Linked DNA regions of Macaca mulatta. The protein of the gene in region 1 interacts with the protein of each later gene in a biochemical or structural test. Links are inferred from orthologs where the notes say so. Each region holds a gene or a part of one and is shown in the gene's direction. Other genes may lie near its edges.

Region 1 (3,657 bases):
AGGAGGCAGAGCAAAAGAACAAGGGTAAGAAAACCTGTAGGGCAGGACAAGCCAAGAGGCATCCAGCGTCAGTCCTCTCTGGGTAGCCCAAGTAAAGCAGGAGCATACCCCGGAGAGAAAGTTCACAGGGCTGTTCACCTGCAGTGCTGTGGACTTCAACCTTCTTGTCCCTCCTTCAGTAAGTGAAACTATAGTCATTGACCATGACTATTATCTACCGCTTTTGAAAATGTAAACATAGTAACTTTATTGCTATAAAAATCATATATGCTTATCATCTTAAAATTCAGGAAACATGGACAGGTACAAAGATGTGCAAAATATCATCCAAAATCCCATTTGCTGGCCAGGCATGGTGGCTCACGCCTGTAATCCCAGCACTTTGGGAGGCCGAGGCGGGTGGATCACAAGGTCAGGAGTTTGAGGCTAGTCTGGCCAATATGGTGAAACCCCATCTCTACTAAAAATACAAAAATTAGAGCCAGGTGCTGTGGCTTACGCCTGTAATCCCAGCACTTAGGGAGGCCAGGACAGGTGGATTGTGAGGTCAGGAGTTCAAGACCAACCTGGCCAACATGGTGAAACCCCATCTCTACTTAAAAAAAACACAAAAATTATTTGGGCGTGGTGGCACGTGCCTGTAATCCCAGCTACTTGGGAGGCTGAGGCAGGAGAATCGCTTGAACCCGGGGGGCAGAGGTTGCAGTGAGTGGAGATCCCACCATTGCACTTCAGCCTGGGTGACAGAGCGAGACTCTGTCAAAAAAAAAAAATTAGCCAGGCGTGGTGGTGTGCACCTGTAGTCTCAGCTACTTGGGAGGCTGAGGCAGGAGAATTGCTTGAACCTGGGAGATGAAGGTTGCAGTGAGCCGAGATCGTGCCATTGCACTCCAGCCTGGGCGACAGAGCAAGACTCTGTCTCAAAAATAATAGTAATAACTAGCCGGGCCTGGTGGCACATGCCTGTAGTCCCAGTTACTCAGGAGGCTGGGGCACAAGACTCATGTGAACCAGGGAGACAGAGGTTGCAGTGAGCCAAGATCACACCACTGCACTCCAGCCTGGTTGACAGAGTGAGACTCTGTCTCAAAAAAAAAAAAAAAAAATCCCATTTGCTCATTTTTTGGATACTAGTATAACTATCACTCTAAACCAGTTAGTACCTTAAATCAAGCAAATATGGGAGATGGTGAATTACCATCTGCAGTCTTGTCATATATGTCATATACTGAGCATTATAAGCTAGTAGAATCTAGTTAATTGTTCTATGTGTGATGTACGTAGAGTTCCCATTTTGAATGTGTTTTTACTATGCTTAAATAAATGACTGATGTTAGCAACCCCAAAATGATACATCTGATGTAAGAGCCCCTGTTCCCCAATAATAACATCTAAACTATAGACACTGGAATGAACAGGTGCCCCTAAGATTCCTTCCTCCAGGGTTTCTTGGCCAGTCTCTGAGGACTACGCATCCCTACCCCCATCTTTCCTCATCTTTAGGCGCAGTAACAGCATCTCCAGGTCCCCTGGCCCCAGCTCCCCAAAGGAGCCCCTGCTGTTCAGCCGTGACATCAGCCGCTCAGAATCCCTTCGTTGTTCCAGCAGCTATTCACAGCAGATCTTCCGGCCCTGTGACCTAATCCACGGGGAGGTCCTGGGGAAGGGCTTCTTTGGGCAGGCTATCAAGGTGAGCGCAGGTAGCAAATACTTTGCTCTTCTGCCCCCAGTCCCTCTCTCAATGTCTTTCGGGGATTTCTCATCACTTGGCCCCACCCCACACCCTGCAGGACGCCAGGCCTCCTTCCTGGCTTTGGGTGATGGTGTGAGAGGCTTCACCCCTACCCAGGCCACCTAAGGTCAGTGTTACTGTTACAGTGAGCTTGTGGACCTAGAGATCCAGGTTGGGTTGAGCTGTGCCTGTGGCTCTCCTGCCTCCAGTCAGTGGGTGTTTGTTAGGTGCCTACAGACCTCAGTACCGGGCATGCTACAAGGAGCACACGGGAATGGCTCCTGCCTCCCTGGTGAACAGTCTCAGGGACTAACCTCTCTCTTTCTCTCCTCCTCCTCCTCCTCTGCTGAGAACTGGGAGGGGGGGTCAGGTAAGCCATGTGTCTCAGCTTGCAGGGGCAGCAGGGCTGGAGAGCTCACCCCTGACCCACCCAGCTCCCTGGTGCATGTCTCTGGCACTGACCTTCCTGCCCCCAGATTTCTGTTCACTCAAGAGACTCACTCCTATGCCAGATGACCAGAGCCCCTGCTTGGCTTGGCAGCGTCCCCTCCTGCCTCCTTCCCCACTTCCCTTTTCTCGGTTCTTGCCTCTCCTCCGTGCATGCCCACCTCTCCAGAAAAGAGGGTATGGTTCCATCTGAGTCCCACGTTGCTCCACGCTGCATCTTCCACACATGAACTCTGTCAGTCTGACCCGGCTCAGTGTGCCCTCCAAGGGATGGGATGGCCAGCTGCATAGATTTTCTCAAACAGTTCTCCAGAACTTCTGGTCTCAGCACCGTTAACAGTCACCCTCCCTGTAGGTGACACACAAAGCCACGGGCAAAGTGATGGTCATGAAAGAGTTAATTCGATGTGATGAGGAGACCCAGAAAACTTTTCTGACTGAGGTAAGAAGATGGAGGGGGCCCGGGAGGTTGGTGTCACCATTGGAAGAGAGAAGACCTTACAAATAATGGCTTCAAGAGGAAATACAGTTTGGAATCACTGTCTTAAAGACTAAGCAGAAAAGAGCCCTAGAGGAATATCCCACTCCCTCTAAATTACAGCATAATTATTTGTTCAATGAACACTTACTAAAAGCAACACAAAGAGGATACAAGGGATGCAGTAACAAAAGATACATGGTTCAGAGAAGCTCTCAGGTTATGAGGATGATGGACATGAAAACACGCCAGTTTAGTACAACTCGATGTTATAATCCTTACCTGAATGCCCTGCTAAGGGAACCTGGAGGGGGAGCTCCCTGAGCACTCACACTCCTTGGGCATTTACAGTTTTCACCATCCCTCCCAAGTTACTTCATGGAGCAACGTCAGTTGGGGACACCTGTGGTCCGGGTACTGCCCTCCAAGCTACTTGGCCACTCCCACCCCAGTTCCCCCAGTGCAGTTCCTAGAAAGGCAGGATCCCAAGGGTAAGGTCCGTGAAGCCATCTCCATCTATATGGTGGTGGTCTTCCCTCATCCTGATCTTAGTGCCCTGTCATATCACAAGAGAGGCAGTAGGAGATACAGGTGGTAACACTTGTCAGGCTGATTCCCTGGAGGGAAGGGGTAAGGAAGACATAGAAGTTAACAGCCAGCTTTCCTTGGCTTCCCTGACCCCCAGGTGAAAGTGATGCGCAGCCTGGACCACCCCAATGTGCTCAAGTTCATTGGTGTGCTGTACAAGGATAAGAAGCTGAACCTGCTGACAGAGTACATTGAGGGGGGCACACTGAAGGACTTCCTGCGCAACATGGTGAGTACACCACCCCATAGTCTCCAGGAGCCTTGGTATGTTGTCATGGTCAAAGGCCAGAGGGGCCCTGCTTTGCCCCCAAAGGACCATGCTGGGTGGGACTGAGCATAGACAGGGAGGCTTCACTAGGAGACCACATTGACCCATAGGGCCTGGACCATGAGTGGGATAGGGCTCAACAAC
Region 2 (3,657 bases), on another chromosome or scaffold:
TTATCATTATAATTTCAGGGAAATCAAAGAAGAAATCTAGAATCTACAGTGTCTCAGATTGAGAAGGAGAAAATGTTGCTACAGCATAGAATTAATGAGTACCAAAGAAAAGCTGAACAGGAAAATGAGAAGAGAAGAAATGTAGAAAATGAAGGTGAATTGTCACTACTTTTGAAAAATGATAAAATTTCTAACATTGTCATGAGGTTGTCTTTAATTTAGTGTCCATGATACGTACATAAAGCTACAGTCCTAAGACACTTTATAAGCTAAATAACCCAGATCTCAAGTTAAATTTATAACATATTAAAGTAAATAGTAAGTAGTGTTTAACTAGAGTAGTGATTGTCATCATGGTGTGCATACTGGAATCTCCTGGGAAGCTTTAAAGAGTACTGATGCCTAAATCCCAGCGATTCTAATTTAATTGGTCTAGATATGTGGCCTGAGTATCATTATTTTTTACAAGCCCCCTAGGTACTTATAACAAGCAGCTGCGTCTAAGAACTGCTAAACTAGGATTTCTTGTGTTTTAATGCCTATTACAAATATATTTAAAATACCTTTCTACACCCATTGATGCAGTGATTTCACTTCCATAAGTTATTTTACATACATACTCATACTGCAAACTGATATATACACAAGGCTATTCATTGTAGCATTGCTTAAAATGACAAAAAAAATGCAATCAATGCTTATATGAAACATAATGTAACACATATGAAACATAAAGGTAATCAATGCTGTAATAAATTTTAGTACATCTATATGGTAGAATACTATGCAGCTTATAAAAAAAATCATCTCCTTAAATACTGGTATGAAACAATCTCTAAGATATATCTTTAAGTGACAAAAACAAAGTACAGATTGCTTGTGTTTAAAACAAGAGTACTTGTCTATATATGCTTAAATTAAATATATATTAGGGAGGAGAGTCAGTTAAGGGAGACTCACAAGGAGCAAAAATGACTAAATGGAGAAAGGAAGCCTTATACTATCTGCCATTTGATACCTGTTAAATTTTGTATTAAGATATTGAATTATCAAGCAATTGATCTATTGAAAAATAATATTAAAACTAGCTTTATAATTACACTAACAGAGTGATCTTATAAAGGGAATAAAGGAGATGGAGTTTGAGATTTACAATAGTGAGAAGAAATCTGTTTTTGCACTCTGTATTATAAAATGATGTTCTACTTTTTAATGAATGTAAAATGCAAGTACTTCCAAATTGGAATTTGGCTTTGGGAGTGGACCTAATGTAGCTGACTGTTATGGCCTAAGACTAAATGTCATTTTTTAAAAAAGGATTTATATGTTTCCACTATGAAAATTTTGTAATTTCTATATATTATTCTTTCATTTTCTAGTTTCTACATTAAAGGATCAGTTGGAAGACTTAAAGAAAGTAAGTCAGAATTCACAACTTGCTAATGAGAAGCTGTCCCAGTTACAAAAGCAGGTAAGTGTTTCAAATGAGGTTCCTTTTTTTAAAAAAATGTAGATAATTAAATTGTATTGTACTTTGGTCAGAAACCTATTTTCTTTCTTTCTTTTTTAAATAGCTAGAAGAAGCCAATGACTTACTTAGGACAGAATCAGACACAGCTGTAAGACTGAGGAAGAGTCACACAGAAATGAGCAAGTCAATTAGTCAGTTAGAGTCCCTGAACAGAGAGTTGCAAGAGAGAAATCGACTTTTAGAGAATTCTAAGTCACAAACAGACAAAGATTATTACCAGCTGCAAGCTATATTGGAAGCTGAACGAAGGGACAGAGGTCATGATTCTGAGATGATCGGAGACCTTCAAGGTAATATTTTTTTTTATTGTGGTAAAATATGCATAACATGAAATTTATTATAACATTTTAACCATTTATGTATACAGTTCAGTGGGATTAAATACAGTTCACAGTGTATGCAACTGTCATCATATAAGTGGAATCATACAGTGTTTGTCCTTTTGCATCTGGCTTTTTTACTTAGCACAGTGTCTTCAAGGTTTATCCATGTTGTGTGTGTCAGATTTTCGTTCCTTTTTAGGGCTCAGTAATATTCCATGGTATGTGTATACCACATTTTGTTCATCCACTCATCTATCAATGGAAGGAATATTTTGTAATTTTTATTTTTAATTGTCAAAAAATATATAACAAAATTTACCATCTTGACCATTTTTAAGTCTAAGTTAATATATTTATGATCATATTACCCTCATAAAGAAAATGACTTTGGTGAAACCAGATGGTTGCATTCTTTTTTATTTACATTTTTTTGAGATAAGACCTTGCTCTGTTGCCCAGGCTGGAGTGCAGTGGCATGATCACAGCTCACTGCATCCTTGAACTCCGGAGGTCAAGCAATTCTCCCACCTCAATTTCCTGAGTAGCTGGGACTACAGGTGCATGCCACCATGCTCAGCTAATTTTTTCATTTTTTGTAGAGACGGAGTTTCACCATTTTGCCCAGGCTAGTCTCAAACTCCTGGACTCAAGCGAAACACCCACTTCGACCTCCCAAAGTGCTAGCATTATGGGTGTGACACACCACACCAGGCCAGCATTCTTTCTCTTTTAGGATAATGCCTACATTTGTATCACGTTGTAATTTCTTCACCCTCACGGGTACTCCTGCGGGGTAGGTAATGTGGATATTTTTCAGTTTTACAGGTAAATTAACCAAAAACTTCATTTGAAAACTTGCCTAATTCATAAAGGTTTTACTCAAAGTGAGACTAATCCAGGCAAAGAGGATTATCACTATTAAAACCTAGGAATTCCTCATGCATTGTTGGTAGTAATAGAAATTCAATTGCAGAAATAGAATCCCATTACACATTAAAAGTTATATACTTGGGAACGTTTGAACTGGAAATACTGATAAGTCTTCGTGAATCTAAGAGGCAAAAGATTGAGTATAACTAACAGTGAATAAATGAACAGTTTTTAAATAGTAATAAAATTCAGTTTGTTTTCAAAAAGATTCCTGGCTTTATGTACTCACATATTTTTCTTTTTTCTATTCCTGTTAGCAGCAGCATCCATACTACCTAATCAAAACAAATATGCATGGAAGTTGCCAGATCTCTCAGGAAAAAATTGGAGGGAGGAGTTCATTTTAACCTTAGTTAGAGTTGGGAACATAGTTTTGGGTCCCTTGGGGCTTGATGATTAGCTATAATTCAGTGGAGAGAGGTCAGGGTCAGCTTTTGTGACTAAGGAAACAGAAAATATGATCTCCTGTTGGTTCTTAGCTGAGGAGTGTTGTGCAATCATATTTCTCAGGGACCAGGCTTAAAATAGATCTGAATATAACTAAGAAAGTAACCACTTTATATGTAATAGGAAAGTTACAGACTTCCTTACATTGTTTTCCTAGGCCTTTTTATACAGCTTATTAGCTGTTTGAAAGTCTCTTCATCTCCCTTCTTTGTCTGTAAACCAAGGAGATAAGAATAGGTTACCTCTAATAAATCTTTCCAATTCTGAAATTCTTGTAAGTTTGTGATCTGTGTTTGACTGAGCTTTGAGCTCCTTGCTTCAGAGGCAGAGATCATCCATGTACTATCAACAGTGATTTTAAACTGTATCTATTTTTTTAGATATCAGTTAAAGTTAAGGAAAATTTGTGGCGTGATTTATTGTTTG

Evidence for each region.
Region 2: of the proteins of LIMK2 (region 1) and ROCK1, one has a biochemical effect on the other in vitro, tested with the Homo sapiens proteins (2 studies listed by BioGRID). The link is inferred for Macaca mulatta from reciprocal best matches to the Homo sapiens genes LIMK2 and ROCK1.

What each region holds. Positions count from the first base shown.
Region 1 is NC_133415.1:20,254,034-20,257,690, reverse strand, and holds part of LIMK2 (LIM domain kinase 2), read left to right. Parts: intron 1-1,503; coding exon 1,504-1,690; intron 1,691-2,340; exon of another isoform or gene 2,341-2,534; coding exon 2,535-2,621; intron 2,622-3,342; coding exon 3,343-3,509; intron 3,510-3,646; coding exon 3,647-3,657. UniProt on the Homo sapiens protein: Serine/threonine-protein kinase that plays an essential role in the regulation of actin filament dynamics. Acts downstream of several Rho family GTPase signal transduction pathways.
Region 2 is NC_133423.1:71,399,947-71,403,603, forward strand, and holds part of ROCK1 (rho-associated protein kinase 1), read left to right. Parts: intron 1-18; coding exon 19-154; intron 155-1,379; coding exon 1,380-1,471; intron 1,472-1,574; coding exon 1,575-1,821; intron 1,822-3,657. UniProt on the Homo sapiens protein: Protein kinase which is a key regulator of the actin cytoskeleton and cell polarity.